Linked DNA regions of Daphnia pulex. The main gene of each other region encodes a partner of the protein of the gene in region 2 in a complex. Links are inferred from orthologs where the notes say so. Each region holds a gene or a part of one and is shown on either strand. Other genes may lie near its edges. The genes, in order: DNA polymerase eta-like and DNA repair protein REV1-like.

Region 1 (4,549 bases), on a different chromosome or scaffold from region 2:
AAAATTTTCAAACTTTGTTAAATTCTCGGCGCTAGAAGTTGTGTAATATTTCCTGGATCATTGTAATAAGTGCTTTATACAGTTGGACCATGGATCAAAATTCTGTTAGTATGTGTTCCAATTTGGATAATCAAAGTGATTTTAGTGATTGCAAACATGAAACACCTAAATTGATCCAGTCAGCATCTGAGAAAAGAGAAGACTCTAGGAAACAAGATGCTGTGATATCAAATCTTAATGGAACAACTCAATTACCTATATTCAACCAAACTGAAACCTCAACATTACCAGAAACTCATCAATCAGAATGTGACAACATTACTGACAATGATGTTGAAGAACTCAACTTGGCAAAAGAGCAAATGATCACTTATGTGGCAAATAGCCAAGCGGAAGATATTTTCTTTAGAAGCCAGCAACGTGATGAACCAGCACTTACAGCTGAGGAGAAGAAAAAGATTGCAGCGTCAGTGTTGAAATCAAGTCCTTCAAATTTCTTAGTCAGGTTTGGAAAAATATTGAATCCAAATCACCTGACTTACTTTCATCAATTTGAAAACAACTATGAAGTTTTATTTCATCTTCAGCAGCTGGAAAAACAGAATAAATTAACACAAACTAGTGTTAAAAACCTGCGTTTCCATGCAATGAATGAAATGATAAAAGAAGGGAAATATTTCAGCATGGATGAAATGAGGAAAAGAAACCCAATATTATTTCATGAGCTTGTTGAGAAATATATGTCATCAGATGAAAAAAGATTGTTAGAACAGGAACAACCAAAGCTATGTAATCTTTCAACAATTTTCATGGCCCACATAGATGGTGATTCTGAGAATTCTAAAAGGAGAAATGAACAACGAGCTGATCAATCAGCTTGGGATGAGGCATTAGCTTGCGAAGAGGAAGAAGAAGAGGATGATGATGATGATATAGATCAAGAAGAAAAGAAATTCTTCCGCGATGAATTTATATCAAGTATTATTTACGATATATTTATTTATTTTTTTTTCGATTAATATTTACCATTTTTTAAAGGTATGTATAGTAGCTTTCTCAGTGGGCGTGATGAAGAGTTCGACTACAGCCAAATTGATTCTTCACATCCCAAAGACGATGTCATATATGAAAGAGATGCCGAAGAACGATACTTTGATAGTGACTAACACAATATTAATTCGCTGTATGAAATCTTCCAAATGTCATGATTTGTAATGAAAGTAAATAAAAAAAAAATTCAATAACAAAATTGACTCGAGTACATACAGTCATACAGATTATCCGTGTAAATTGAGTATTTGGTGATTGATTATATTCGAATTTCTTTTTTTTAATAATGTAAACGATTAACAACATTTTTTAAACAAATTTTTATTATGTATGAGAACTTCAGAGGTAGCTTAAGCACCAGGTTGAAGTATGGCGGGTTTAAGTTTTGGCGGGAACTAACAAGCAGACAACTCGAGAGGAATGTGTCAATGTGGAATTGTGGATGTAGGTTGTTTACCGATTAAAAAATCTGCTCGGGAAGATATACATGCTAAACTAATATTAAATGTGACAACTTATTAAGTTTAAAAAGTCAATGTCTAAAACAACTGGGAAAACGTGGTCCGAAGGGTATCATTTTGCTCCAAACAGCTCAAAATACCTGGCAGGAGATCCAGATGTAAAATTTGTCGTTTTTGATACGTCGCCAGATAACAGTGAAGACGAAGAACTAGTTCCTTGTTTGGAAAGAAAATTGAACGATGGTATTGATCAAGTGAAGTCTCAAGAACCAATACTTACAAAGGAAATTAATTTGGTTTTGTCAAAAAGTGATGACAATGAAATTGATAGTCAGTGTTCCACATCAAGCAATGATCTTCCATTGAGTCCTTCCACCAGAGAGGATATGATACAATACTTGAACTTTTGTGCATCAAAAAAACTTAAAAGATGAGTGCTGAAGATGAAAAACGAGTTGTAGCCTTGATTGACATGGACTGTTTTTATGTTCAAGTGGAAGAGAGAGAAAATCCTGGCAACAAAGGAAAACCTGCCTGTGTGGTGCAGTATAAAAAATGGAAAGGGGGTGGTATTATTTCTGTAAATTATGAAGCTAGAGCGCAAGGAGTAACTAAGCAGATGAGAGGAGATGAAGCCAGGGAAAAATGTCCAGATTGCATTCTTTACAGAGTACCTGAACAGCGAGGAAAAGCTGATCTCACAAGGTAAAAGTATTTTTCTAAATTTATCAAAAAAGATATATATAATTTTCATAATTTGCAATTCTAGGTACAGGGATGGAGGAAAAGAAGTCATTGATGTGATGTGCAGCTTTGGTGTCGTCGTAGAGCGCGCCAGTATTGATGAAGCATACATAGACATGACCGCGGTTATAGATAAAATGCTTTCAGATTCCACAGGTTGGTTGAAAGTAAAATTCAGCTTGATGAAATTCGTCATTCACTTTGTCAATGTCCTACTTTTACTAATATAGCCACTGCGATCGATCTTGAAGAGCTTCCAAACACTTACTTTGTTGGATGGGGGAACGACACAGATGATGTAAAAGGTCGGTCATTATTTTACATGCTCTAGTTCTATTACTACAATATTTCCTATAAATTCGTAGGTGTACACGGGTGGTTACAAGCGTTATCGGAAGGAAATTGCAACGATAATGACTGGAAATTAACATATGGTGCTATTTTGGTTGAAAAGATGCGCGCTGCTGTTTATGAAAAAACCGGATTTCGTTGTTCTGCTGGGATTTCCAACAATAAAATGTTGGCGAAACTAGCTTGTGGTATGCTCTTATTTCTTTTCTTTTTTTTTATTATGAGCCTTCAAAATGACTTTTTTTTTTCCTATAGGCATCAACAAGCCCAACAAGCAAACCGTTTTGCCTTTTCGTTCCGTTGAGGAATTTTTTACGACGTTCCCTTTAAAGAAAGTTAGAAATCTTGGTGGTAAACTTGGTCTTGTTCTACGAGAAGAGTTCCATTGTACTACTATGGCAGATATCGTAAAAATTCCCGAGCGGGTCTTGCAGGAACGTTTTGATAGTAAGACGGGGTAAGTTTTCTCGCTTTCATCTTTAAATGCCTCTCATATTTATTGAAATCTTTGTCTTTCAGCACGTGGCTTTACTGGTACGCCCGAGGAGTGGATCATGAGTCGGTCAGCTCCCGCAGACTGCCCAAGTCCATAGGCTGTAATAAAAATTTCACTGGTTTAGCTGCACTAGATTCTCGGGAGAAAATAAGCCATTGGCTAGAAGAGTTATGTGCTGAAGTTTCTGAGCGACTCGAGAAAGACCGGGAAACGGTAAATCCCATCACTCTTGTACCTCTTTTTCGTGTGTTGGCATAACATATTTTCCCTTGAAAATTTATTTTTTTAGAATAATAGAACGGCAAAACTATTAACTCTGACGGTTCGATTAGAAGGCGATATACGACCGTACTCTTATACTCGTTCAATTCCTCTGACTTCTTCATACGAAAAAATGCACATGGCGAACGCTTGCTTGGCAGTTATTAGTAAAGAAAATCCTTGTTTCAAACAAGGCAACACTAGAGTTCCAGTGGTTGTTACCTGCCTTGGAGTTTCAGCTAGCAAGTTTGTTGATCAACTGGAAAATAATTCCAGGATCGATCGCTTTTTTGTCACTAAAAATAGTGCTGAAACCAACAAGGAAAAAGAACCCTATGCAGAACAGGAAGCATTGCATGAAAACGATGATCTAAACGAAAACAGTACTGATCAGGAGGATGAAGAAAATGAATTTGTAGAAACTGAAAGAATCTTGGATATTGAAGAAGAAAGTATTACGGCACCAGAACCAAATACAGCCGACTCTGCTTCAGAGTGCACTGAAGCAGAGCCTGTATCAGTCCATAGAGAAATGAGTTCAATGCCTATTTCCAATCAAGATAACTGTGGAATAGTGAAAAAAACTGGGTTTTTTGCTTCTCGTTGCCTTGACAAAAACACTCCAATACAATCAGCTAAAGAATCTGTTCCTGAACCAGCAGCCCTGAAAATGGTGGGTCTTCAAGAGTCATTCTCCGTTGAAGAACTATTTCCAGATTTAAATCAAGTTGATATGGATACCCTAGCTCTACTCCCGCTTCATCTACAGCGCCAAGTTTTACAAGCAATCGAGGCTAGGAAAGGTAGTTATGGAAATGATAAATTCGTTGTATGTGACAAGTGCAAACAACAATTTCTCCGAGAAGAAATCGAAGAACACAAAGATTTCCATTTGGCGTCCGAATTGCAAAAGGAATTTTCTGCCCAGCCTTCTACTTCTTCATTGGCCAACAATTCGAAAGTCCAGACAGCCGAGAAAAAATCGTCGAAGAGGCCGTTGAAGAACCAGAAGAAGGCAGCCAAGGATAGCAAGCGCTCAAGGACGATAGATTCGTTTTTTGGAAGCCGGCCGTAGTAAAAAAAATGTAAGTTCAATTTATCAACCAACATGTACTAAAAACCCGTCAAAATGATTAGCAATATTCTGGCGATTGTAGTAAAAATATTGTTTTTTTTTAAATGTAAT
Region 2 (4,538 bases):
ACCTTTGAGTTGTTTCAAAAGGATTTGAACTTCTTTTTCGACGATTTTGGTGTCGCGAGTGGCAGAACACAATGTTGTGGATCGAGAAATGCTATCACATACTCCGTGACCCATAAATTTCGCTGTTTCTACAGGGGCATCTTTGGCGCGGATTTTGAGCTTCAAAGTCAACAGTTTTCCTCTCACCTAAAGAGACATTTAACAAAGTTAAAATTGCTTTCGCTGTTAAAAAAATGTTTAAATTAATTACGTGAATTTCTTCCATTCGTTTGGACACTTCAATGGACAGTTCTTGAACGAATTTGTGCATTTCCTGATCATTTGCGAAACGAATTCCATAATTTATATCTGCCGAAACAGATTTTCGAACGTGGTCCGTCTATGTGGACCACGCAATATTAACAATTTTGAAATGGAAAGTTAACCTGAGACTGAGATAATACCTTTAGAGCGCGTTTATCTTCTCCCCGGCACATATGATATAATGTTTGTCCTTGCTTTTGACCAAACTCTTGTTGGAGCTTTCCCAAGCTTACCTGATTTTCAGAAACACAATTACATATTTGTTTAATGAAATAGAAGCTATGTACACATACTTGCTGCATTTCAACACAAGTGCGAACGCCCATGCCATGAAGTCGATGAGCCATGGACCTTCCGACACCCGGCAGATCTTCAATTTTGTGGTCCTTCATAAATTCATTCATGTCTTTCTTGTTGATATAAAACAGTCCGTTCGGTTTGGCTTTTTTGGTTGCAAGCCTAGCCATCAGCATATTCGGGCCCATTCCGACAGAGGCGTTACATTGTGTCTTATTAAAGATGACTTCTTTCAAATGAGTAGCAAACTCGGCTGGCGTGAGTCCACTTTGGCGCAAAACGGAGGTAATGTCTGCGTACAACTCATCACAGCTGACGGCTTCCAAGTCCAAAGTGTACGCGGCAACAGTATTGTACAGCGAGGTGGACACCTTAAACACGCCCACAAACGGAAAAATGAATTAAAGATTTTAAATAATTGATTGTAAATGTATTACCTCCTTGTATCCTTCAAAATCGTACGGAATGGCAACCAGATTAGGACATAATTTCAAGGCACCTCCCATGAACATTCCGTTATAAATTCCAGCTGCGCGAGCTTCGTAGCTACACGAAGCGATTTCGGACATGGAACAAGTTTCATCCAAATCCTGAAGTCGTGGAAAAACATCTGAAAGCGTAGCCACCGTATCAACAGCATTGCTGTTATTTTCTGAAAATTTCGATTTTTTGATCCAATGTTCTTTATAGCAGTCGAATTCATATTCTCGATTGCTGCCTTCGCGTCTTGGAAGCGGTTTAGCGTCAGCTCTTGCATGGGTCACAACAACCGGTTTACCCACCAACGATGGATAGTTGCGCAGTCCAACCGAGACAAAGAAGCAATCCATGTCAATGTGCATGAAAACAGTTTCTTCACACTTGTAGTTTCCTAGGCAACCAGTCAAGTTCTTCCAGTTTTCAATACTTTCCATACCTAAATTTTTAAATATTACATGTAATTGCATTAATAAAATGCTGCTATCAAAATTGTACCTGGAAAAACACCATCATTTTTCTCTCGAAGCTCAGTCACATGTCTTTTGAATAACGCTCCCATTGTGGAAATGTGGTGAAGCCTTGAGCGTTTGTAAAATTCAGATAAAAAATCGTCTTCTCCTGCGCGTTTCATTTCTCTTGAATGTCTAGTAATATCACCAGGTGGAACAGGTTCAGAGGAATGTGCTTCATCAATTTTTCTTTCTATTGCTGTTTGATTGTCATCATTTTTCTTCTGTATTGAAGCAATGTCCAACTTTTGTTGCCCTTTGTCTAAAGTTAGCCCAGTGTAAAGCAAATAGGGCTTCACATCCAATAACATATTGGCTTTCAGACTTTCAACAATCCATTCTGGCTTAACAAATTTTTCGTCGCCCTTGAGTTTCTTGATTTTAGCACCACACAAGTTGGACGCAATTATATGAGTAGTCGTTTTTGAATTATAGTAATGGTGGTAAACTCCTCCATTGGCCAGCATGATGCGCTTCAGTTCTTCTGCAGTTGGACTGGTATATCCATTGACAAAAATTGCAACATTTGAAAATACATTGCTTAGTTTATCATCTTCTTGTACTTCATTGAATTGTTCATTCAAATACTGATTTTCTAGTTTAGAAATTTTTGCTGCCATATAACCCCCCTGTAAATAATGATTCCAAATATGAATAACATAATTAGTAGTGTCAGAAGTCGAATAAGTCGTCTCACCCACTCTGCAAATCCATTATCGTCCCTATTTTTCCTTTTACCCCTTCCAGCCATCGTTTAATAAAAAAGAAAATCTCAACACTTGCAAGAAAATTTTCCACTACATTTGAGTTTGCTGTGCACGTTTGTTTACATAAATTGTTTCAAAAAATATCACTAGATGGCAGAAGAAATTGCGCATTGCCAGATATTGTAAATCGCGTGTTCGGAAAAGATATTTTGAAATTTTAGTTTTTAAAAAATTAAATAAAACTACTGGATCAGGACTGTTGTTATTCTTTTTGAAAGTGTGGAAAGACACAAAAAAAGATATGCCAATTACTAAAGAAGATTTGAATGTTATCAGGAAAACAAATCTCAAAATGTAGGAAACAAAGGAAGAGCATGGGAAGAGGAACGCCCAAAGTATTTCCTGTTTGAACAATTATAAAACTTCCCAAATGTATAGCAGATGATGATGGCCGGAGATAATTACATGTATCCTCTTTTTCATTTGATGGTTTGCCAGGGGTATTATCTTCATTCGTATTTGTGTGTTAATCAGAAGAAGACGATAAACTGCCAGTTTTGTTTCCCAGAAATGGAACAACGTTATTGTGTCTCTAGGTACTTATCCTTGGCTGGAATTATAATAATGTTTGTGATCACTATAATTTGTTATCATCAGACATCGATCACTCGGGAAAGAGTAATAGTGCGCATCCACCCTAATGATGTGTTATCCGAGTCCCATCAGACGAAGAACATTCTATTGTGGAACGGTTACGATCGAATCGAAATGAAAGTCTTTCTTAGAAGTTTGCCCAACAATAACTCGTGTCCGTACAGGAATTGTCGAGTCACAACTGATCGTCGATCAAACTTACTGGGCAAATTTGATGCCATTATTTTCAATATGGCTGTGCTTCATCAACTGGAAAAGTCTGACAAGCTGCCACCAGCCGACACACGGGAGAGTCATCAATATTACATCTTTTTCAGCCAAGAATCACCTTTCTATCACAAGGAAAACGTCCAAAAGGATTACATCGGATATTTCAACTGGACCATGAGTTATCTGCCCGAATCAAACATTCCTTATCCGTATGGCCGGATAGAACGGGCAGCGGTTGATTTAAAATCCAAGTCTTATCTAATAAGGAAAAAGACAAAACTGGTCGCCTGGTTTGTTTCGCATTGCAACACAACTCAAAGTCGGCGAGAAAATTACGTCAGAGAATTGCAGAAGCACATCCCTATCGACATCTTTGGTCTTTGCGGTCCGTTGAAATGCAAATGGAACTCTGATACGGGGATTTCACATCCGGAATGTTACGACATGCTGGAAAAGGAATACAAGTTTTATCTGTCGTTTGAGAATTCACTGTGCAGCCATTACGTCACGGAGAAATTCTATTCGATATTGAAGCTTGACGTGGTGCCAGTTGTCATGGGTAGGGCCAATTACAGCGACATTGCTCCGCCGTATTCATTTATCGACGCCCTGAGTTATTCACCCAAACAACTGGCCGATTACTTGCTGTTGCTCGATGGCAACCAAACACTTTACGAGAGGTACTTGAAATGGAAAACCAGTTACATTATCCGCAGTGGATATGAAGAGATGGGCGGCCAGGCCTTGTGTTCTCTTTGTGCACAACTCAATCTGTCGGATGACCGGAAGGAAATAATGCCCGCTGATGTTTTGTCGACATGGAACCCAACGACCCGTTGTCTCAATCCGCGCTACGTGAAAGCTTTTCGCAGTATTGACGGTAATAATAATAGATCCACGACATCTTAGACTTGTTTCTACATCTCTGACTTGTCTCGTGCCTAATCAAATGAGACCATAAGTTCATCTAACAAGATTAGAGAGTTGCTTTATTCCCTACAGCATTATAAGGAATTGGAAAATAAAAAGAACTTTTTCTTCTCGAGAAGATGGTGGTAATCCCCTTTTGCATTGCACAGATACTTTTTGTAGAGCACATTCTCTCACTATATATGGGGCGAACTTAAATATAGACTCGGCTGACGAGCAGCCGGCAGTCAACTGCTGAAACCTGCAATGTGATTCCCAAGCGCAACCAAAATAACTCGGATGCGGCTCGTTCGCAACAACGAAGAATCTTCTTAAAGAAACAAGTGGTGATTCGCTATAAAACAATTGTACACAAACCCCCCCAGCTCGGTGTGTAAAAGAACTGAGCTGGAATCGATCCAGCAAGATGATTTAGAAAGTTGAAGGAGAATGGAAATGTTGTTTTTTA

What was found.
Region 1: the proteins of DNA repair protein REV1-like (region 2) and DNA polymerase eta-like are in contact, whole or in part, in an NMR structure (PDB 2LSK), measured with the Homo sapiens proteins. The link is inferred for Daphnia pulex from reciprocal best matches to the Homo sapiens genes REV1 and POLH. Residues at the interface, in NP_057400.1 of Homo sapiens: Asn1158, Leu1159, Ala1160, Gly1161, Leu1171, Leu1172, Trp1175, Ile1179, Asp1181, Pro1182, Met1183, Glu1185, Asp1186, Gln1189, Val1190; in NP_006493.1 of Homo sapiens: Thr528, Glu529, Pro530, Phe531, Phe532, Lys533, Lys535, Ser536, Leu539.

What each region holds. Positions count from the first base shown.
Region 1 is NC_060027.1:5,025,142-5,029,690, reverse strand, and holds the start of DNA polymerase eta-like, read left to right. Parts: upstream 1-1,445; 5' UTR 1,446-1,941; coding exon 1,942-2,216; intron 2,217-2,280; coding exon 2,281-2,411; intron 2,412-2,485; coding exon 2,486-2,560; intron 2,561-2,620; coding exon 2,621-2,794; intron 2,795-2,861; coding exon 2,862-3,063; intron 3,064-3,125; coding exon 3,126-3,315; intron 3,316-3,391; coding exon 3,392-4,438; 3' UTR 4,439-4,549. Other genes in the region: coiled-coil domain-containing protein 97-like, read left to right, coding at 90-978, 1,039-1,166. UniProt on the Homo sapiens protein: DNA polymerase specifically involved in the DNA repair by translesion synthesis (TLS). Due to low processivity on both damaged and normal DNA, cooperates with the heterotetrameric (REV3L, REV7, POLD2 and POLD3) POLZ complex for complete bypass of DNA lesions.
Region 2 is NC_060017.1:8,178,409-8,182,946, reverse strand, and holds the start of DNA repair protein REV1-like, read right to left. Parts: upstream 2,809-4,538; 5' UTR 2,341-2,808; coding exon 2,287-2,340; intron 2,219-2,286; coding exon 1,576-2,218; intron 1,517-1,575; coding exon 1,038-1,516; intron 972-1,037; coding exon 597-971; intron 537-596; coding exon 444-536; intron 380-443; coding exon 251-379; intron 187-250; coding exon 3-186; intron 1-2. Other genes in the region: alpha-(1,3)-fucosyltransferase C-like, read left to right, coding at 2,867-4,069. UniProt on the Homo sapiens protein: Deoxycytidyl transferase involved in DNA repair. Transfers a dCMP residue from dCTP to the 3'-end of a DNA primer in a template-dependent reaction.